5 linked regions of the Rattus norvegicus genome follow. The protein of the gene in region 4 purifies or fractionates together with the protein of the main gene of each other region. This does not show direct contact. Links are inferred from orthologs where the notes say so. Each region holds a gene or a part of one and is shown on either strand. Other genes may lie near its edges.

Region 1 (4,434 bases), on a different chromosome or scaffold from region 4:
TGGTTCTTTGACATATTTGTGGTGTGTGTGTGTATGTTGTTGTTATTTATTTGTTTTGTTTTGGTAGAGTTTGTCTTTGTAGCCCTGGCTGTCCTGGGACTCACTGCTATGTAGACCAGGCTGACCTTGAACACATCGACATCTGCTTGCTTCTGCCTCCCAAGTATTGGTATTAAAGGCGTGCACCACCACTGCCTGGCTCGACTGTTTTTTTTTTGTTTTTCGATTTTGGATTTGAGACAGCGTCTCACTATGTAGTCCTGGTTAGTTAGTCCTAGAACTACGTCCATAAACCAGGCTGGCCTTGAACTCACAGAGATCTGCCTGCTTCTGCCTCAGGAGTGCTGGAGTTAAAGGACTGGGCTACCAGGCCTGACCGTTCATATTTTAATTTTTTTCTTTTTTCTTTTTTTCGGAGCTGGGGACTGAACCCAGGGCCTTGCGCTTGCTAGGCAAGCGCTCTACCACTGAGCTAAATCCCCAACCTCCATATTTTAATTTTTTCCGCATTAGGATCCTGTGTTTAAAGTGGTTAAAAGATAAGCCTGGGGAAGATCCCACAGATTCTCACCCCCATCTCCCCACTAGTTCCCTCTACCAAACCCCTGCAGCACCCCAAACTTCAGGGGGGGTGCTGGGTACTAGAATCACAGCAGTCGCAGATGAAGTTCACGGCTGCAACCTTGAATCACCCCTTGACTCAGTTTCCCCATTTATGAAAGGGCTGATGTTGGCATCAATGCTCATTTTAGGTCATCTCTTGTCCCAGCATCCACCTGGACGAGCATTCGCTCTGGTCCAGTCTGTCTAGCCGCAACTGCACACCCACCTGTCCCTATCCTGGTTGACCGCGGTACATTCTGCCACGCAGCTCGGTCCTAGGGTAGGAAGACAGTTCCTCAAAAGAAAGTCCTTCTGTGTTGGACCAGTCCGGTTTACTTGCTGCTCCGGGCCAATACACTGCACTTCTACTAGGAGCCGTTTCAGATTAAATTGTCATTTTCAGAAAACCCCAAGGAGGTTGATCCGTGACTGGGACAACTTATCTCTACGGGAAAGAAAGTCCTGCGACAATGTCAATTGCCACCGGGCTCCAGCACCTTTCCTAGGACTGTAGTTTAAGCATGGGGAAGCGACTTTCTAGCTCGCACATTTTAACAAGGCAGCTGGCCAGAGACCGGCGCCTCAACTCTTTCTAAGATCACCTCGCGTCCCAAACCGCAGCCTCCAACTCCGAGAACTCAAGCGCCCGACAAGAAACTTGCACGATCGCGCCCGCGGCCACCAACCCGAGCCAGAGCACCCACGGCCTGCAGTCTGCCATCCCCAGGGTGTGTGTCTTGGACGGAGAGGCCCCCAATCGCACCTGCGGCCTCTGGGTGAGTCCGGTCGCGGGGCCGTCCCGCGTGCTGGGAGGTCGGGGTCACCCAAGATAGCTTCCCAGGGCGAGGTCCCCGAGGCTCCCCGGGGTGGGCGGCGGCGCCCGGAGGCCGCACTGCTGGCGGCCGCGCCGCTCCCCCTCGCTCTGTGCAGCTGCCGCCCGGCGCTTGCGCACTGGGCCCCGGGCGCGCGGCGGCACCAGGCTTTGTGTGTGCGCGTATGTGTGTGAGTGTGTGTCTGTGCGCGAGTGAGAGAGCGGGCGAGTGTGGCGAGCAGGACCCGGCGGGCGCGCTCCCCCAGCCTCTCTCTCCTCTCTCTCCCTCCCCGCTAGAACCATGTCGGGCAGGTCGGTTCGAGCCGAGACCAGGAGCCGGGCCAAAGATGATATCAAGAGGGTCATGGCGGCTATCGAGAAAGTGCGCAAATGGTAAGCCGAGGCGCCTGCTCGCTCTCTAGCTCTCCCCGGCTCGCTGCACCGCATCGCGGCCGCCAGCAAGCCGGGACCCAGCGCGCAGAGCGGCGGGGCGCAGCGGCCCCGGGCCCGGAGTTGGCGAGGGCGCGCGGCCGGGGTCACCTGCGCCCCGCGGGGGCTGCGTCCGCTGCCCAGGTGTGCTTGGCGCCGGTCGCCCACCTGGCGCGGCGGCGGAGGCAGTGGCGGTGGCGGTGGCGGCTGCAGCCCGGAGCCCGGAGCTCCGAGCTCGGCTCTCGGGAGAGGGGGGTTCGCAGCCGGCCCCAGAAGCCATTTCGTTTTTTTGTGCAAGTCACATGAAAGCGGCTTCCCGCGCGCCGGGGCCGTGATGCCGGCGGCGGCGGGCAGAGCGCGAGCTCCATTGTGCAGCGCGGAGCGGGCCGCCGTCTCCTCCCGGGGCGGCGCGGCGCCGGTGTCCCCCCAACACACACACACATACGCACACACACTCTCACCCTACGCCCCGACCCGCCCGCAGCTCCCCGCCTCCCAGGCCTCGGCGCCCTCGAGTCTGCGGAGTTTGCAGAGCGCGAGCCGTTTAAATTTAGCGCTTTGGGCAGCCTGGAGCGAGGGCTCCGGGCGAGGAAGGAAGATGGGGGCGAGCGCTAGGAAGGCGGTGGCGCGGCCCGGGCGCGGAGCACCCACGGCTCCCACGCGCTCCGCGCGGCACCCGGAGCTTGGGGAACGCGATGTTTGCAGCCAGAAGCCAAGTCCTGGGCCGTGTCTTGCCTTCTTCTAGCTGGAGCTGGTGTTTGTTTTGCGGAGAGAGCGAGCGACCGTTGTTTTTGTTCTCTGCACTGGGGGAGGAGGAGGGGACCGGGAGATTCGGTGTGGGCCGTGCGTGTTTTTCGAGCTCAAATTAGATCGTGCCCGGCGTGGCCTCGTTATAATTAGTAGGATGGAACATTTTCACGGCCCTCGTCGGGATCTGACTCCGAGGCGGCCCCAGAGACCAGGCCTGAGGCTCCAGTAGTCCACCACCAGGTTGGGTCAGACTTGTTGAAAACTCCCTGCTCCCTGATTTTAACTTTATTACGTTTTTTTTTTTTTCCCACGGCTTCATCTGGGTCCGAGCGGGAGAGGAGCAGCTGCGAGGGTGTCCCCAAGTGTCAGCGGCTGCTGGCTGGACCTGTCCTTTATAGGAACTGGCCAGGCCCCACTGCAGGCTGTTATTTTGGGGGGGTTTCATTTCTTGAGTCACGCCTCTGTTGTTGTTGTCTTTTTTTTTTTAAACACTTCTGGGGGTGCCTGTCTCCGGCTTGATGGTGTCACAAGTTAGCTGTCCTTTCAGAGTGAAACCCAACAAAAAAGGCAAGGAAAAAAATCAATAAAGTCCACGTGCTCCCGGGCCTCCTATGGAAAGGGCTGTCTGCGGATGGCCGGATGCCCGCCGTGGGCTGGGTTTGGCTCCAATGGGACAAAGAATTTTCACAACCGTGAGAAGGGGAGGCTTTCCAAAGTTGAGATCCAAGTCCTGGGTGCCGGGAGCTCCCCTGCTGAGCAGGGCGACTAGTGCCCAACTGGAGCCATTTAAAAATGGCAGAAACAGCTGCAGGCCAAAACACAGGAAAACAGCACAGTAACGGACCCTCTCCTGTGGGACTCTCAAGGGAAGGCTGGGGTGGTAGAGAACTGATATCAGAGCAAGCGTCCCTTCTGTCTGTCACCGGCCTGGACGGTAGAAAGCGGCAGGCTGGCCGGTGTAAGCTGCCTTTCTGGTCCTGGAGCTGTGACAGCTGCCGCTGGGTCTGCCAGCTGCTCTGCAGGGCGGGCAGATGGAGGGATGGGGCTTTCCACCCTGCGGGCCCCAGAGCAGCAGGCCTGGAGACTTCTTCCATCCCAGCGGGTTCACAGCCTGCGGAGCCTGGGAGTGCAGCGGGGGATGTGGCCGCCTTCTTCCCCGTAGTGCATCATGACCTCTAAAGACTTCAGGCTTTTTGGGATCTCCTGCTCGAGTTTCTACTTCTCTTCCTAGCTGTGACCTTGGGCAAAGCATGAAACTCAAGTTCCTTGCTGCTGTCAACTAGGGGACTCGGTGCCCCTTCCCCTTCCAGAACTGCCTAGGACTGGCTAGTCAGGTGGAGTCACTGGAGTACACAGGGGCCCTTGTAAACGCCCTTATGTAAGGTGGACTTTTGTAGAAATTTGGATCTGCTTCCCGTCCCCATCTTACACAGAAATGCAGGGGGCTTCCTTGAGTCACGGGATCTGGTCTTGGCCTGTCTGTACAACAGTGTTGCAATCAACCCTGAAGGCTTTGGGGTTGTTTATTAACTGTGGGCACCAACCATGCATTTCACCACTGGCTAAGGCATGGGGCTGCCATAATTAGCAAAGGAAAATACAGAACACCCAGGTAAATTTGAATTTCAGAAAAATAACAAAGTGATTTAAAAAAAAAAAAGTCCCCCCTCCCCCGTATAGTGATGTATGCCTATAACCTTAGCACTTGTAGAGGCAGGAGAATCAGGAGTTCAAGGATAGCCTCAGCTACATACTGAGTTCTGGGCTAGCCTGGTCTACATTCAAGCTTGTCTCAAAAAAAAAGGCAAAAATGAAAATGTCTACTGAGAATATTGCTTTAA
Region 2 (4,234 bases), on a different chromosome or scaffold from region 4:
TTGTCCCCCTCCCCCAGGTTTGGTTATATTTTCCCCCTGTATCTCCACCTCTTACCTTACTTCCCAACTTCATGTTTATTTGCTCGTGCTCCCCCCTCCCTCTTTCTCTCTCTCTCAAGTCACCTTTTTTTTTCTTACCCTAATTAGTCCAATTTCTGCTGCTCCTATACACATTGGTGTGGGGTCAGCCAGTGGAGCATTGCTGATCTACCCTTAGATAAAACTGGCTCTCCCTCTCCCAGAAGCCATCAACTGTCATTATCAGCTTTTAGGGGTGGGGGCTAATTAGCCCTTCTATACTGGAATATTGACTGGTTTTGATAATTATGCAAGTCTTACACAGGCAACCACAGCAGCGGAGAATTTGTGAGGGCATCAGTCCTTTCGTGTTTAGAGACACTGTTTAGTATAGTCCTGCTGAACCTCTGGTTCTCGCAGTCTTTCCCTACCCACTCATTCTTGATGCTCCCTGAACTTTGGGGACCCATAGATGGCTGAATACTCCACAGATCTGTATTCTGACCATTCGTGTATTAACTATCCTCCACTGCGCAAAGATGCTGTCTCCTAAGGTCTGAGTGCTGCACTAATGTGTGGGTACGGATATTTATCTAGAGCTAGTTTGATATTATATTCATTTAGCAATGTAATAGTATTTTCACCCCTGGTTTAGAAGCCATGGGTTCTTGGCCAACCTTAGAGTACCAGATAGAAGTTTCTTCCTGTGGAACTGGCCCTAGAACCAATTAAAGGAAAACAAGAAAAGAAAAAAGCCCCTGGCTACCCTTGTAACATAATGTGCCACTACTGTACCTCTAGGGACATCCTAACCCCGCTAGTTATTACTACAGCTCATGGGGTTCACAGTGAGACTGTTGAAGATGTTTCTTCTCCAGCAGCCTGGGTAACAACTGGCGGTACTATGACAGTGAGCAAGCAGGCAGAAGGCTTCCAGTCACCAGCTTCATTTCTCCATGGCCTATGACCATTCTTTTTAAACCTATAAATTGATTATAATATTTAATACTATTATTAATTCAGTGAAGTTGGGAACTGTGGATTTGAGATAATATAGAATATACTTTTCAATGTTTATGAGTTTAGAATCAGTATTCAGGATAGGAAGAAAGAAAGTTGACATTCTGAACTCAGACAAATCAATTATGATCATATTTATTGTTCCATGCCCATGACATTCTTCCGTAGCCCAGGCTAGTCCTGAGCTCATCTTCTTACCTCAGCTTCCTGAGTGTTGGCATCATAGGTGGGTCAGTGTGCCTGGCTTTTTCCTTAAGTCTTGTGTTGGGGTCCGTGAGCTGTCACTTTTTTCTAGACTAGATGTCTGCAGACACGTCCTTGATGCAGTTGTCTGTTTGTGACCAGGTAGGGCCTTCCTGAGGACACTTGTCTTACCAGTGTTTCACCAGGAGCTCCTGGTGAAGTACAAACTGCACTCTGTTCGTACTGAATTGGTGAGGCTTTCCAAATGATGTGTGCGGTTTCTGGTCCTTCCAGACCCTTGTCTCTTTGAAGGCCGTATAAGCCCAGAAAAGAGGGTGGCCTAGCAGTTCAACTCATTGTGTTCAAAGTATAAGATTATCCGAATCTGCTCGGGTGTCTGGTTTTGTAGGTTGGGCCACCTCTAGAATCTTTTTTGGGAGGTGAGGGGTTAGGATAAGCTGTTAAAACAAGAAATATTCCCACAACTGAGGTAAGGAAGACTTGGACCTGAGGTTAGTAGTTATAGCTGATTGAGTCATTGACTGGTCTGCCATGTTGGTTCCCTGTTCTTTGTAATCTGGTTCCCTGCTAAACCATTTCTCTTTGGTTCTGGTCTTTTTGTGAGCTCTTGGAGCACCATATACCTTAGGTGGCCCACCCTTTCACTGTGGTGTACACGTAGGGCTTTGAGGCTGTGCAGTGCACAAATTATTAATTCTGTTTCCTGCTAGCCCTTGAGTCACTTGCTGTGTCATGTAAGGAACTTTACTTTCTTCTCTGGTCTGTGTCGAATGTTGATTGATGGCAGAGTTCCTTCATTCATGATTATGAGTTGCAACAAAACAGATAGAAGAGAAAAGAGGATCAGAGTTGGGAGAAATAGAAGTAGCTCCCACAGTTGTGAGCTGGCCACATCCTTAGCTACTGATACAAACTTCCTAGATAATCCGAAACTTGGGCTCCTGGAGATGTGGGAGTAGAGGAATGTGTGGGGTGAGGAGCTAAGTGAGCTGTCAGGATCTGGCGTTTTCAAATCATACGTCAGAAGGGAACATCTTGATTATTTCTTCAGAACCAGATCTGCATTTGAGGAAACAGGGCTTCCAGTCTACGAATGAACTAAAGTGATTGCCACAATACTTCATTGATATTTTCAAAGAATTAGAAATTCACCAGTAAATTTTAAATTAGGAAGGATATTGCAATGAGAAGTCTGTGCTGACACTTTGCCCTGGTGGAAGTCAGGAGGGGTTAGTTCCTTTGGGCTCTTCCTTTTGTACCCTTTAGGTGGGTAATTGACCCCTTGTAGCTGTGCTCTGCTTGCTTGTGGATGTGCTTTTGCACTTGGCAGTTCTCAGTCTCTTTCCTTTTTGGGTCAGCTCTTGTGCAGAGCAGGCTGTGGTGCTTCATGACTCCTTTGTCTTTCTTGGGTTCCTTTGTCAGATGACGAGTGTACTGTTATCTTTAAGCAAACATTATGATGTTGGCCAGTGAGGTAAGTTTGCTTACCTCCAAGACTCATCGTAGTCTGAGTTGAGTCTGTAGGACTCACATGTTGAATGAGAGAAACAACTTCTCGAAGTTGTCCTCTGACCTGCCCTTGTGCATGGTGGGCAGCACTCCGTGCCCACATGCCCATATGACATCACACTTACGTGTACATGCTGTAACTTAATGGCTGTGGTGTGAAGCTGCCTGAGGGTTGAGTTGTCATGTGGTAGTAGGATGGACGCTGCTGAGTTCAGGAATAAAGGAAAGCTTAGACTCATTTACTTTACTCACTTCCTTTCCTTGCAAAATACTGCATATTTGTTATGGGTTTAAGTAGAGTGGAAATTTGAGGACAAGCTCAAAAGAATGGTTCAGGGTGTGGAAAACAGGGAAATTCTGTGGCGTTAAGGAGACAGCTGCTCTGGCTTCTGCACCCTCCCTCTCCTCGTTCTTATTTTGCCTGAGGAGGAACAGTAGAGCAACTCAGGAGGTTACTAAATTCTTCCTTTTCAGGGGTACACCCTCCCCCCTTTTCATTTTTGGGAGAGAGCCCCATACTATAGTCCTGCTGGCCTGGAAAATGATACGTAGACTAGTTTGGCCTTAAATTTGTAGTTAAGTCCCTGTCTTAGCATCGGCCTCCCTGGTGCTAGGGTGACTCTAAGGGATCCAGGCTTTTTGTCTTACTGCAATTCTGATATTCTGTTCAAGTCTTGTCCAGCAGTCAAACAGTGGTTTTATTTTTCTACCTGAAATTAAACATTTTTCTCCTGAGAAATTAGCCACTAAAATTTTTACTAGTGTTTTAATTTGGATTGTTAATTTTGGTAATGTTTGTTTTAAAGTTGTGTAAGGGTCCATGATTCGGCAAAGAATGATACCCTGAACTCTCAATAGTATGTAAATGCAGAGTGTTTTTTTTTTTTTTTTTTTTTCTACAGAAGTCCAGCATGCTGGGCTCTCCCATTACCAGAATAGAGCTTTTATGCCTGATTTAAAGCACATTAGGGCATTCCGGGTTTGGTGACCCTTATGTTAATCTGTTGGGTCCCATCTCTAAGGACATTCTCTTGGGGACTGTGGGGGCTGTAAACTTGCTGGGGGAAGTCTGGAAATGCTGCTGACCCATTGTCCTTGCCTCAGGCCAGGTGGTAGGGCAGCTTCTGAGGCCTGGGGTTGCCTGGAATTGCCCAGTTCTTGGATACAAATTTAGGCCTAGCCGCCTGAACTGCCAGTTTGAAGCCTGTCATGGAATCAGCCTAGTCTCCTTAGTTGTATGGGTTTTGAGTGCCCCATTTTTCTGTTTTAAATTCCTGTTGTCTTCAGCATTTGATTTTACGTAAATTGAAATTTTCCACCAGTCGGAGTTTGAGAATATGTAGCAGAAACACCTTCATGTGCTGCTGTGTGGCACTGTGGAGATGTTTGTTGACATTTGTTGCCTTCCTTTTCTATTTCCTCAAACTGGCCACAGTCTGTAATCTCAATAAGGCAGAGTCAGGAGGAGGATTGCAACCAGGAG
Region 3 (4,463 bases), on a different chromosome or scaffold from region 4:
GTTTAGAATAGTGAAAGGCAACAAGTTAATTCCCAAGAACAGTTACCATGGTATGGGGAGAGAGAAGGTTCCATCCTTTGTTCTTAGAATGGCCTGAGTCTTCATCCTTTATTGTGTCTGTGTGTCTGTGTGTGTGTTGCAATTTTTCACCTGCACAGGGCAGAGGAACCACATGTGGAGGTCAGAATAAAACTCGACTGAGTTGTTTCTCTCCTTCCACCCTGTTGGACCCACGGATGTCGGGCTTGGCCACAAAGCACCTTTACCAGATGAGCCATCTTGAAAGCCTAGTCTTCACCCTTTAGATTTCTTTAAATCTAGTGGAGAATTCCCAACTTAAGTCACACGAGTAGCCTGTAGTTCTGACCTTGTTTGCTCATTGTTAAACTTGACTTACATGCATATTTGGTTTTGTTTACTTTGTGTATATCTTTTCTATATGACGGCATGAAATCTTTGAGAGATTCCGGTGCAGTTGGTCAGTTCTACCACCCATATAGGGCACAGACACCGAGAACTGCTGAATAAATTAAACTGACCTGTGAAATTTATTTGGAATAACATTAAAAAATATGTTTACTTTTTACTTTATTAATAATTTGGGTACTAATTTTTTGTTTTTGTGAGACAGTGTCCCTCAATGTAGCTCTGTCCTGGAACTCACTCTGTAGGCCAGACTGGTCTTGAACTCAGAAATCAGCTTGCCTCTGCTTCCTGTGTGCTGAGATTAAAGACGAGCACCCCCATCACCCGGCTAGACACTAATTTTTGTGCATCAGTGATGTTGAGTAATGATTCACATACACTTCCCTTTTGTGCGACTGGGAAGTCTACGGTTGCAGAATTAACCCGCAGCAACGTGTTCCTTTTTAATTTGCAGCTGTTGGCTTTATTCCCCTCATACTGACTTGAAGTCTGGGCCTAATTAAGCACCAAGTATTTAACTGGAGAAGAGGGTGGGTTTTCACAGCTTCGTTCCAAAGGCCCCAAGTCAGATCAAGTAGATCCACAAGTGTGAGGAGGGTGTATTTCTAGGCCAACTTTGAGTCCCGGGTTTTTTTTTCGGTTAGGCTAGACTTGGCGAGCGTGCACTCCAAGGTGCGCACGTGGAGCTCTGGGAGCCATTTAAACTAGCGAATCGGCGTTCTCTGTGCTGACCCGGTAGGCGCTCCTGAGTCCCGACTGTCCTCTTTTCCTCTGGGCTGCGGCCTGGGCGAGCCTCTTCCCCAGGGGGGTCGAGGGCGCAGTTAGGGGTTAGTGTAGCAGGCGGGCCCCGTGTTTCCTGTGACAGCGCGGCCCAGCCGCTCCCTCCCGTCGTGGCGGGACCATTTCCTGAGCGTCCGGGCGGAGGCGGCCGGCGCGGCGCTACCATCAGCGCAGGGACGCGGGGGTGCGGCTGGAGAGCGCGCGGGGACAGCGAGGCGGACCACGGCGGAAACCTGGGCTCGAGCCACACCGGCGACAGTGAGCTTCTCAAATACTTTTCTGGGAGCTGCAGCCCCGCGTTAAGGCCGAGCTGGCCAGCGAGGCACGCGACCCCGGAGCATCCTCCCCCACCGCGCGCGCTAAGGTGGGACTGCCCGGAGGCGGGCGTCGGGCCCCCAGCTCCGCGGCCCCCGGAGCGCTCGGGACTCGCTGATCGCGGGCTCGGCGGCAATATGTCTGTGGCGTTCGCAGCCCCGAGGCAGCGGGGCAAGGGCGAGATCACGCCCGCCGCCATCCAGAAGGTGAGCTGGGAGAGGCGCCCGGACGCGGCCCGAGGCGGGATGGCGTGGGGGCGGGCTGACGCCCGCTTCCCGACGGAGCCCTTTGGCGCCTGCTCTGCCCGCACAAAAGCGCCGGCAACCGCCGCCGGATTTCTCTGCCGGCCCGGTGGCCTTGCGTCGCGGGGCCGGGAGGGGAGTGGCGCCCGAGACTCCGGCGTCGCCCCGCCCCGCCGGGACCCTAGTCGCGGAAGCCGGAACGCAGAGTGCCGCGCCGCAAACTCCTCGGAGTTGAGGCCCTCTCAGGACAACTTGGGAACCTTCCGCAATGGCTCGGGGCTGGCGGGGAAGGAGCCGGGGGCTCGGGGACGCACCCGGGGTCTGTTCCGGTCTGCCGCAGATAGATGTGCCTGAGCGCGCAGGGCGGGCGCTAGGGTTCCGGAGGGCGAGCCTGCTCTCTCCGGCCGGGCGCTGTTGGCCATCTACACCGACGGGCGGGCGGTTTGCATGAAGTCACGATAGAAGCGCTGGGAGCTGAGTCCTCAGAGCGTGCCACCCAGTCGCCGTTCCGGGACTGCCAATTGGGGACACAAAGGTTCTTTATTATTCTCTGAGCCTGTGTCTAAAAGCAATGCACTATTCTAGATCTCAGTGTTGTAGACTTTAGAAAGTCGCCTGTTAAGTTTAGTAGTTTGCCCCGAGTATTAACATTTTGTTCCCTGCCTTGGAGTAAGGTTAAGGCGAGCAAGTCTACCTGTAATACTGATGGGGCACCCTCGCAGACCTGTGGGTTAAGGCCATCGGTTTCTGTTTACTGTCAGGTTCTCTGTAGTGTGGCATTTGACATTTGCCCAACTGTTGCTTTAATTTCTTTGAAGAAACCCGCCTGGCAGTGCCTGGAAACGCAGTTGGTTTCTCTAGTGTGCCAGGTTGAGCCTGTAGTCTTGTGAGCAGCTTTCTTTAAGCACACACGTGCAGAAAGCATGTTGCTTAAGGGATTCCTTCTGAACTCAAGTCTGGCGTTTTTATTTTTCTCAGTAGAATTTTTTCTTGTATAAGTCTGTTAGTTGCTTATCGTGAGTGGTTGATCTGGGTGCTAACTGCTTATTTTTCATTCAACGATGAAAGGTGAAAAATGGATTAAAATTCCTTTGTTATTTATGCGTCTGTGTACGTCATGTGCGTGTACATATTGGGAAGGTCAGAAGAAACATTAGATTCTCTGAAATCGCAGTTACCAGTCTCCTTGTGGGTGCTGGAAACCAAACCCAGGTTCTCAGTAAAAACATTAAGTGCTCTTGTCCTCTAAACCATTTCTCCAGCCTCCCAAAAGTATTCCAGTTCAAGCTTTGTTTAGATGGGAGACAGATGGTTGGGGTTGTTTAATGTGTTGTGAGTTCCTTGGTTGAGTATTGAGTTGCTGACACTTGGAAGGCAGGGGCAGTCAGATCTTAAGCTAGCCTGGTCTACAGGGTTAGTTCCAGGGCAGCCAAGGCTACACCCTATCTCGAAAAACAACAAAAACAGTAACAACAGCAATCAAGAACAACAAAATGATTTTTTTTATTTAGTTATTATATTTAAGAAACACACTTTAGAAAAACATTTGCTCTTAACAATAGAAGATTACGATAAATGTGCAGGAAATATCAATTAATGGTAACTGGATCTTGTTTTTTTTTTTTTTAAGATTTATTTATTTTGTGTATATGAGCACACTGCCCCTGTCCTCATGCACACCAGAAGAGGGCATCAGATCCCATCACAGATGGCCTCTAGCCACCATGTGGTTGCTGGGATTTGAACTCAGGACCTCTGGAAAAAGAGTCAGTGCTCTTAACCACTGAGCCATCTCTCCAGCCCCTGGATCTTGTTTTTAATTGAAAATCACATTAAATACTTTTGGTGTTGTCCGCTGGTTACGCATTAAATTATGGAAGGTGGAACAGCTCAGGATGCCTGTTCCCCAGTCTTAAGCTCCTACAAACTCGGGTGCTATGCTAGGGACTCTGTGTAGGTTTTCAACACCCCAAACTGAGGTTGCTTAGATTGTTATAATAAAATGATCATTGATTAAAAAAAAAGATCATTGATGTATCTTGTGGTTTTAAACTTTCTGAGGTACCTCATTTTATGTTACAAACTAAAATTCTATTAAATAATATGCAGCATAGAGATCATTGCCGTAGTCATCTTGGAGACTCGTGAGTCCATACAGTTAGAAAAGAAGCTAGGCAGTTACCTCAGGTCCCTTGGACAGCAGTGCTCCTGTGCCTCTTTTTTTCCTTCTGGAGAAGAACACATTTTCTCCTTCACCCCACAGAGCATGAGATGCTCCAAGATCAACTGGGAGTCAACTTTTCAACGTGGTAATTAAATGTTTCTGTTTAAAACAAAACAAAACAAAACACCCCAAATCAATGGCCCAGAGGATGGCTCAGCTGGGTTCAAGGACAGAACCAGTGTCACAGAGTTGCCTCTGACTTCACACCATGGCACTTTGTGTTGTGTGTGTGTGTGTGTGTGTGTGTGTGTGTGTGGAGAGAGAGAGAGAGAGAGAGAGAGAGAGAGAGAGAGAGAAGGGGGGCTCATCGAGGATTGAACACACACACACACACACACACACACACACACACACACACACATACACACACAAATGATAAAATAAGTCAAAAGAAACACCTACTTTCCCTTCTGAGTTTCAAAGGAAGTAATTGAGGTAGGGAGCCAACATAATTGACTAAGTGATAGCATCCCACG
Region 4 (4,175 bases):
AATTAATTTATAAAAAAAAAAAAAGGAAAAAGAAAAGAACAAAGAAGAAAAGGAAATTTTACAGAAGACTGAACAGAAGAAAGGTGCGGAGATGCGGAGGAAGGAAACACTTGGACAGAGGAGGAGCAGAGCGCCTGGTGGGTGGAGCCAAGCACTGAGTCCTGGGGGCAGGGCCATGCTGCGCTGCTCCCAAATCTTTGTCCTCATTTGGGGAACTCCTAGCTATCACTGGGTTCTGTCAGGCTTGCTGAGGGCAGAAGTTAGCAGACTGTCCCACTGTCAAAAGTAGGTGCTTAAGTGCTTTTCAAAACTCAAGGGTTGCAGACTCCCCATCCTCTTAGAGCTCCACCTTTGTTTGATGCCTGTTGGGCACTCAAGATACAACCAGGAAAGCAGGAAGAAGAGCCCACCTGAGGCCCCTTCTTCCTCTATTACCTACCACAGAATCCCTGCAAACTACATTTCCCACAAGTACACAGACGCTGACAGTGAGCAGGTGACTTAAAAACAACACGAGGCTGACACTCAGAGGGGAAGGTCATTGGCTGAGCTGGGCCTAACAGCCACAATGACAAGCAGCAGGAGGGATTAGTTTGATAAAGTGGAATGGGTGAGGGGCTGACTCAGCACTGCCAAGGGGCTCAGACAGGCTTGGTGCCCTGTTCCATCTCCACAGCCTGCCCCAAAACTTAATTCCTCTTAAAACGTTCCCTTTCCCCTCAAAAATAAAAATAAAAAGTTCTTTTTTGTGGTCTCAGATGTGTCTTTTTAAAACCTCCCTTTTAAAGGGTTTCATTTTCATGTTATCACTTCAAAACTGCAGTAATTCTGAAGGTACACCCTCAGAACCAGTAATAGAACCTTGAATAAACATCCTTCCCTCCTATCCTCTCTCCCAGGCATTAGAAACATCTTAGAAGTCCGTGGATAATATTGGATATAAAACTGCACACCTCTGCTGGGCATGTGGGGTGGTGAAGGGGCAGGAGCTTTCCTTACGTAGTGATGAACTCTCCAGGCTGAGGGAGGGTCCCAGTTGTGGGGGAGGGTGGTTCCTGGACTGTGATCTCCATGGGGAGTGAGGGGAGATAGCTGGCTGGTTCCTCACTGTGGGGGTGGCACAGGGGTGACTGTGCCTGGGCTCGGAGCTGTGGGGTCTGGAGGCAGCGGGGTGCCTGGGTCTGTGGAGAAAAGGAAGGTAAGTGAGCTGGAGCCTGCAGAGGGATGGCTGCAGTCCCAGGCTACACACACACACACACACACACACACACACACACACACACACACACACAGACCCAGGCATGGCATGCAGGGGTGGGTGGATGAATGAGGTACCCACTATGTATAATTTCTTCTTCCTAACACTCTTCTCTACCTGACACTGGGAACTCCTTATTCCCCAGACCATCCTCCTCTCCCTAAGGACTCTAAGTGGAGCATCTGCATGTGGTGGAAACAAGCAAAGGGCAGCCATCGCCATGCAGACGGTGGCCAGGCTCCAGGTTTACAGCTGAGGTCGTCCTCTGAGCCACTGGGCTCCTCCACGACCCACCAGTGAAAGGCCCCGTCAACCCAGAGGTGACAGCTGCCAAGTTGGGAAACGGAGGACTGCCAAGAGGCCTTTCTTCCTCCCGTGCTCTAGCCCTTTCCTTCCTGGCCTCCCTCCCACAGTGTAGAGCCCTCCCTCTCCCTCACCCTTCCCCTCCCGGCCCCTTCTCACCTGGCAGTGGGCTGGCACTGGGCAGGAGGCTGCCCTGAACAGCAGCCACAATGGCAGGGCTCTGGGCTGCGGCCGATCCGAGCCCCGGCCCGAGAGGCAAGGAAGATGGCATGGTGGTGGTCGCCGGCAGGTTAGGATGTAGAGGGTTCGCCATGGACACAGGCAGGTTAGGTGGGGGGATAGTGCCCGGGGCAAACGGGAGATGGTGGTGACCATGCAGGTTAGGAGGGGGAAGGTTAATACTAATGGAGTCGGCTAGACTACCGAATGGGATGATGGATGGAGCAGCAGGGGGAGGAAGCGGCAAGCCGAAAGGCAAACCCAAAGGAGCATTACCCGCCACGCCTGGGTGCCCGCTGCCTGGCACTGCCCCTGGCATCATTGAGGGAGGAGTTTGTTGGTTGGGGAACGGTGAGGGGCCTAGAAATGAAGAGAACACAGGGTGAGGGACTGGAACCTTGCTCAGCACCCGCTGCACAGCCACCGCTGGTGCCACCCCCTTGTACTGAGACTAGAATAAGCAGGAGATTCTTGGAATGAAACTCCACCAGGTATCTGTTTGGAACACATCCCTGCTAGTTGGGGGACATAGTACAATGGAGCCCACCTGTAGGACCTGCAAGAAACTTTTACATCCGAGTCATCAGGTGGGTGTCCCTTCAGAGGGACCAGAACATCTGCCCATCTCTACAGCAAACAAGTACTCTGGAACGCACACTCACCATGGGGTCCAGGGGGGGGTACCCCTGGTGGGACTGCCCCAGGCTGAGGGGCTCCAGCTTGTTGTGGCTGCTGTGGCCCTGCAGTTGTCCCTGCCTGCCCGATCTGTTCAGAAGGGCCCAAGGTTCCTGGAGGGGCCCCACCGCCAGGAGGAGCGGAGGCCACACTGGCTGGAGCTACAGCTAGACCGTGGACTGTCGCGGGTGCCGCGGCCCCGGTGGGGGGGATGGGCTGGGAGCCTGGGGGCAGGGCTGGCGGCGGCGGTGGCGGCGGCGGCGGCGGCGGCTGCTGCTGCATCTGCTGGAAGTGTTGCTGCCGCGCCCTCATCTCTGCATACTTCAGCTGCTCCATGTGGAAGGCTTGCCGGTCGGCCAGGAGCTGCTGCCTCTGATATTCCAGCTGCCGGTACCAGTGGGAACTGTTACCGGGTACCAGAAGACGTGGGCAAACTCCCTGACCCACTTCTTCTTTTGAAAGAGCCTAATCTCATGCTAGTGTTTCCCCAAGACTCAACCATGTGCTTCCTCTGCCCTCCCAGGGACGGAGACCATTGACATTGCTCCTCGCTGCGCTGCAGGAGAGGTAATCCGCTGTGGTTCCGGTTCACTTCATTTCAAAACTCTGAACTTGTTATTATTCTGATTTGAAAATGCCTCGAGCTCCTGTCAATTCAAGTTCTTTCCTTCCTTCAAAATCAGCTACAAACTTAATTATTTGTTAGGGAGACACTTCGCTGGCCTCTGAATTTTGACTTTATTCTGATTCTCCCAGAATTAATTTTATTTTTATACGTTTATTGGTTTTTCAAAACTGGGTTTCTCTATGTGGACCTGGTTGTCCTGGAACTCATTCTGCAGACCAGGCTGGCCTTGAACTCACAGAGAGCCACTTGCCTCTGCCTCCTGAGTACTGGGATTAAATCTCTTATTTTAAAAAGTTATTTTTGGGGTGCTGGAGAGATGGCTCAGCAGTTAAGAGCACTGACTGCTCTTCCAGAGGTCCTGAGTTCAATTCCCAGCAACCACATGGTGGCTCACAACCATCTGTAATGGGATCTGATGCCCTCTTCTGGTGTGTCTGAAGATAGCGACAGTGTGAATATACAGTGAATATACAAAAAATAAACAAATCTTTAAGAAAAAGTTATTTTAATGATGGATATGTCTGTCTGTCTGTCTGTGTAAGGGCATGTGCATGTGAGTGCGGGTGCCCATGAGAAACCCCTAGGGCTGACGTAGGTTCTCTAGAACAGCAATCTGTTCTCAATCGCAAGCTACTCCACTAGGACATCTCCGAATCTGAATTTTCCGGTAGTTTAAGGATCTCCATGTTGTATATTTGATGTTTCTAAGAGCAGGGTCCCCATGCTGTATTTCTTTTTCAGTCCTCTCTTTTTTTTTTTTTCCCCCCTCCGGAGCTGAGGATCGAACCCAGGGCCTTGCGCTTGCTAGGCAAGCACTCTACCACTGAGCTAAATCCCCAACCCCTTCAGCCCTCTCAAAGAAACTGAATCAATATTGTCTGTCTGTTCTGTCTATTTCCCAAATTTACCTGCCGGGTCTCTTACTATCTCTCAAATCCACTCAGTCACTCAGGTTTGTGAGAACCTAGTGAGAGGCAAGCACCGGTGGAGGACCTAGAGGTGCAGCGGCCAGAAAGCATGACTAGCATCCCACCTATGGATCTCAACCTCTGGGCTGCCTGCCTTTCTCCCGGCTGTGCCACCTGTGTCTGA
Region 5 (4,552 bases), on a different chromosome or scaffold from region 4:
TTGAAGCTAACCTGGTCTACATAGTGAGTTCAGGTACAGCCAGGGCTATGTAGACAGACCCTCTTTCTTTTTTCTTTCTTTCTTTCTTTTTTTTTTTTCTTTTTTTCGGAGCTGGGGACTGAACCCAGGGCCTTGCGTTTGCTAGGCAAGTGCTCTACCACTGAGCTAAATCCCCAACCCCGACCCTCTTTCAAAAAACAAAAACAAATACAAATTTTAAAAGCCAGTGTACTGGGGTTGGGGATTTGGCTCAGTGGTAGAGCGCTTGCCTAGCAAGCGCAAGGCCCTGGGTTCGGTCCCCAGCTCCGAAAAAAAAAAAGAAAAAAAAAAAGCCAGTGTACTGTAGGAACACTTGACATTGTTAGCTGTCCATTAAACACTTGTGTGTACTTTGGGACTTCCTTTTGATTGTGGTATAGTTGAAGGTATGGTGCCTAGACAAGCTAAGGAGGGAAGGTCCTTCTATTTCTAGCTACCTCAGTGTAAGGAGGTGCCTGAGGTCAATGAGTTCAAAGCTTCAGGTTACCACTCTGACACAGGAGTTCCATGTATGGCTGGTGTCTGTCCCAGAACCCAAGGCAATAATGTCCTCTACCTGTGGCTCCTCTAGCTTCAGCTCAGGTCTCGGGTGAGACTGCATGAGTAAGAATGTAAGAAAGGTGCCTCTCTTTTACCCTACCCCACCCCGCCAGGAGAGAAGCTACACCAGCACTGAGGCTGCAGGAAAGTGAGAGAATACAGACTCTGCCAGGGCCTGCCGTTAATACTGCATACAGCTGGTAGCCATGTGTAAGCTTTGGGGATCTGTGTGGTTTCAATATGGTTGGCCCAGGGAGTGGCCTTGTTGGGGGAGGTGTGTCACTGTGGGGGTAGGCTTGGAGAGACCTTCCTCCTAGCTACCTAGAAGCCAGTCTTCTCCTGTTTGTCTTCTGAAGAAGATGTCGAACTCTCAGCTCCTCCAGAGCCATGCCTACCTGAATGCCATGATGATAATGGATTGAACCTCTAAAACTATAAGCCAGCCCCAATTAAATACTGTGCTTTATACGAGTTGCCTTGGTCATAGTATCTCTCCACAGGCGTGGAAACCCTAAGATAGGGTTCCATTGAGCCAGGGTGTCAAGAAGTAGGTCAAAAGAACTGTGGGATCCTGGAGTTGGAGTTACAGACAGTTCTGAGCCTCTATGTAGTGTAAGCTTAGGTTTTTCAAAGCCTACTTTATTTAGGGTTCTTAAATGCTTCAACCTCCCTTTTAGCCCACCGACGAGAGGTAGGGAAAAAGGCAGATTAATAGGCAAAGGGGGTTGCGGACAGAGGTACCTAAAGGACTGGGTACCTCCCTGACCTTTCCAATCCTTCCCTGTGAGTCAATCATGTGTCTAACGGTCAGCTAGGCAGGACACTGTTGCTCCTTCTAGCTCATCTGCCTGGCCTATTCACTTACCTTTCTCACTTTCCAACCAAGCCTTCCTGAGGCTCTACTAAATGGAGGGGAGACAGATCTCCAGAATGAGCTGCAGAGGGCGCATAGTTTTCCAATCGCGCCTGCGCATCGGGATCCCCTAGGCTCCAGGTCGGGTCGTTTTTTTTTTTTTTTTTTAGCGCTCGCCCTCGTGAGCCTGTGCGTGCGCGCACCCTCGGGCTGCGCCTGCGCAGAGGATCGAGGACCGTGTGTCCTGAGAAGGCTTAGCGCCTGCGCGTTGCGGGCTTCGGGGCCTCCCGGCCTGAGGGAGAGGAACTGGGAAGATGGCGGCTGTGGTGGAGAATGTAGTGAAGCTGTGAGTGGTCTTCTTTTTTCTTTTTCTTTTTAAAAATCTCTCCTGTACAGGAAATCTTGTAATGGGGCCTGGGAGTAGAGAGGGAAGTGCGGGAAGAGAAAAGACAGAGAGAAGGACATGCCCGGGAAGTCCTTGCTGTGCGACTGCTGGTAGGGAGGGCAACAGGAGACTCTGGAGAAGGCGCTGGGCTTCTTTTGGAAACTTGTGGAGACCGGGAGGGGGGCACACTAGAGTCCCCGACGAGCGTCCTTCTCGCGGGCCGAGCCCCGAGCGGAGCTGCGGACTGCGAACGAGAGGCTCACGGTCCCTGGCCCCTCAGTCCCGTCGCGCTGAGGCCGGCGGCCCTGGGAGATCGGGGTCCCCTCTCCGCCCACCGCCCTCCCTGGGACTACAGGCTCCGCCGTACCTGCTGGGATCCTAAGATTTAAGCAGCCCGGTGACATTAACCGGGAAATCCGGGGTACACGAAACTAAAACTGTTCTTGGGAAGAATTGTTCCAAGAGCAGATACAGAAGGGAAAGAACTTCTGGGAGTGGGCAACTAGACCGGAACCAGACGGCCTTCTGGTCCGCAGGAGCCCCGAAGTGGGCGTTCTCTGTACCCTAGATGCCATTGTGCGGGTCAGATTTCGAGCAGAGCTGAAGTTAACGGTTGTTGGGAAACACTGGGAACGGGGACTGGCCTGTTAGCCGCTTCCCCCGAGTTAGAGGTGTTTGGGGTTTTGATGAGTCTCCTCCTTCCTTCTTGAAGAAGAATCGAGAGTTTTGGAACGGGGTTAAAAATGCCCGTTGGGCTTAAGAATGGCCTTTTCTTCCTTTAATGGCCATGTTGGGCGTGATGTAAGAATAGAAAAATGGAAGTGTTCAGGTGTCCAGTCAAAGCTTTTGGATTCTGGATGGCAAAGTAATGGTTTAGGAACTATTCTGGAGGACTTTTCGCAGCTTCATCTGTCTTTGTCGTGGGCTGAGCCCCCATAGTCCCAAGAGGCTTTTTTTTTTAAGGTTAAGTTGCTTCTCCCCCGCTGCTTGGAGCCCTTTTCTTCGAGAATGCTTTCCCACCTCCATTAAGCTAAGTGCCTTCTCTTGTGGCTTTTTTTTTTTTTTTTTTTTTTTTTTTACTTGCTTTTGGCTTCATCCTGCTGCCTCTTTCAACCACCCCTCCTCCCAACACTATTATCCTTATGATCTGCCCCCTCCGGCTTCCCCAGCCCTCTTTAGGCTGACATTTCCCTTAATTTAGAAATGAAGCTGTTAATTTAACATTTTTATGGTTCTCCTTCTAGACTCAGCTGTTAGGTCTTTGTTACTCTGCCTTTCTTTGTTGACCTCCCCTATTCCTGGTGGAAGGGGAGTTGTCCTGTGCCCCCACTCCTACCCCACAGGTTTCCTGTGAAAAGAGGAGCCACAGCTTTTACCCTGGAAATCTTACTTTCTAGAAGAACGTGTTGCCTAGGTTTTCAGAATTACATGTTAATGGAGCTCTTCATATTGAAAGATGGTCTTGCGGAGAATGGAGTTGCCAACCCATTGGTGTAGTATTTTAAGTGTTGGTTCCCATTTAAATAGAGCAGTGCTGTTCCTGCCTCTTTAACCAGTCAATGGTTCCTAGTGTCAGCGAGGTACTGAGTTGATTCTTCCCATTTCTAGGTGCAGAAGACTAGACATCACTAACACGTACCTCACAGAACTTTCCCTTTATAGAGAAGACTTTGATTCTCACACCATTCTCACTTTGGAAAGATGCCTTTCTGATACTTTCTTTTTTATTATAGTGTGCTTAAGTCTTCTGGCAGCTGACATCACTCATTGAGGGAAAGACCACTAGTTCATCTTTTTCTTTGATTTTTGCCTTGTGAGAAGACTTTGTCTTAATTTTCTGCTTTTCTCAAATACATTATCATGGTTGACATAGTCTTTAGAGTATAGAGTAAATACTAGTCTAAAAAATAACCATGACTACCAACTAGTTTTTAAAACTTTATATGAGTTATATAAGGCTATCTGTAGAATAACAGAAGCTTGAAATTTTTTGCTACAGAGTCTTGAATTCATGTATTCTCCCCTTTGCTGCTCTCTTCACACACACACGCACACGCACATGGGCACACATACATGTACATAATTTCTTCTGGCCATTTCTCCTACTAGAGCACTTGCTTCACCTTCTAGAATCTTACCTGACCTGCAGGAGCCGATTGGACATTCCAGTCATTCCTCCAGGCCTTCTTCAGCCTCTGTGCTTTGACTTTGCAGTCTTCAGCCCCACTGGGCTGGTCCTTCCTTCCGTTTGACTTCCAGTGTCAGCATCAATTCCATCAGCAGAAACAAAGGAGCTGCTGCAGTCAGCCTTGTTTATCGGTTTTTCCTGTGTGGTAAGGACAAGGCTGCCTCCTAAAGGCGAGCAAATGTGAGCCTGCTCTCTTCTGTGCTGTGCGCTCCAACACATTCATACCTTAATTATAGTTATTACTGCTCACTGAATCAACTCAGGCTGTACTTGTAGTGTTGCTGTGTGTGTGTTTTTATTAAGCTATGCAGTGGTCTCCTGTGACTGCTCAGTGAAAGTCCCTATCAGATCCTACGTTAGTGCTTGTCCATACAGCTTTAGTTGTAGGTATTGGCCACTGAGACTGAGACCTTCTCCCTCTTGCTTTTCATGCCTCCTTATCCCTACTATCTCCATCAGAATCCTGGCAGGCCAGAGATCATCTAATCTAACTGCCCCAATCTATAGGAGAGGAATGGAGGTTCATACAGATTAACCACATGACTGT

Evidence for each region. Proteins that work in one complex are often made in the same cells at the same time.
Region 1: the proteins of Smarcc2 (region 4) and Bcl7a purify together in Homo sapiens (affinity purification with mass spectrometry; 4 studies listed by BioGRID and IntAct, counting the BioPlex papers as one, with this or other methods). This does not show direct contact. The link is inferred for Rattus norvegicus from reciprocal best matches to the Homo sapiens genes SMARCC2 and BCL7A.
Region 2: the proteins of Smarcc2 (region 4) and Tbl1xr1 fractionate together in Homo sapiens (co-fractionation; 3 studies listed by BioGRID, with this or other methods). This does not show direct contact. The link is inferred for Rattus norvegicus from reciprocal best matches to the Homo sapiens genes SMARCC2 and TBL1XR1.
Region 3: the proteins of Smarcc2 (region 4) and Ss18 purify together in Homo sapiens (affinity purification with mass spectrometry; 3 studies listed by BioGRID and IntAct, counting the BioPlex papers as one, with this or other methods). This does not show direct contact. The link is inferred for Rattus norvegicus from reciprocal best matches to the Homo sapiens genes SMARCC2 and SS18.
Region 5: the proteins of Smarcc2 (region 4) and Dpf2 purify together in Homo sapiens (affinity purification with mass spectrometry; 8 studies listed by BioGRID and IntAct, counting the BioPlex papers as one, with this or other methods). This does not show direct contact. The link is inferred for Rattus norvegicus from reciprocal best matches to the Homo sapiens genes SMARCC2 and DPF2.

The regions. Positions count from the first base shown.
Region 1 is NC_086030.1:38,901,914-38,906,347, reverse strand, and holds the start of Bcl7a (B-cell CLL/lymphoma 7 protein family member A), read left to right. Parts: upstream 1-1,577; 5' UTR 1,578-1,715; coding exon 1,716-1,807; intron 1,808-4,434.
Region 2 is NC_086020.1:106,729,288-106,733,521, forward strand, and holds the start of Tbl1xr1 (F-box-like/WD repeat-containing protein TBL1XR1), read left to right. Parts: upstream 1-1,377; 5' UTR 1,378-1,491; intron 1,492-4,234. UniProt on the Homo sapiens protein: F-box-like protein involved in the recruitment of the ubiquitin/19S proteasome complex to nuclear receptor-regulated transcription units. Plays an essential role in transcription activation mediated by nuclear receptors.
Region 3 is NC_086036.1:6,107,057-6,111,519, reverse strand, and holds the start of Ss18 (protein SSXT), read left to right. Parts: upstream 1-1,606; 5' UTR 1,607-1,658; coding exon 1,659-1,727; intron 1,728-4,463. UniProt on the Homo sapiens protein: Appears to function synergistically with RBM14 as a transcriptional coactivator. Isoform 1 and isoform 2 function in nuclear receptor coactivation. Isoform 1 and isoform 2 function in general transcriptional coactivation.
Region 4 is NC_086025.1:1,490,445-1,494,619, reverse strand, and holds the end of Smarcc2 (SWI/SNF related, matrix associated, actin dependent regulator of chromatin, subfamily c, member 2), read right to left. Parts: intron 2,840-4,175; coding exon 2,443-2,839; intron 2,141-2,442; coding exon 1,721-2,140; intron 1,182-1,720; coding exon 1,105-1,181; 3' UTR 743-1,104; downstream 1-742. UniProt on the Homo sapiens protein: Involved in transcriptional activation and repression of select genes by chromatin remodeling (alteration of DNA-nucleosome topology).
Region 5 is NC_086019.1:212,625,433-212,629,984, reverse strand, and holds the start of Dpf2 (zinc finger protein ubi-d4), read left to right. Parts: upstream 1-1,695; 5' UTR 1,696-1,746; coding exon 1,747-1,778; intron 1,779-2,086; exon of another isoform or gene 2,087-2,238; intron 2,239-4,552. UniProt on the Homo sapiens protein: Plays an active role in transcriptional regulation by binding modified histones H3 and H4. Is a negative regulator of myeloid differentiation of hematopoietic progenitor cells. Might also have a role in the development and maturation of lymphoid cells.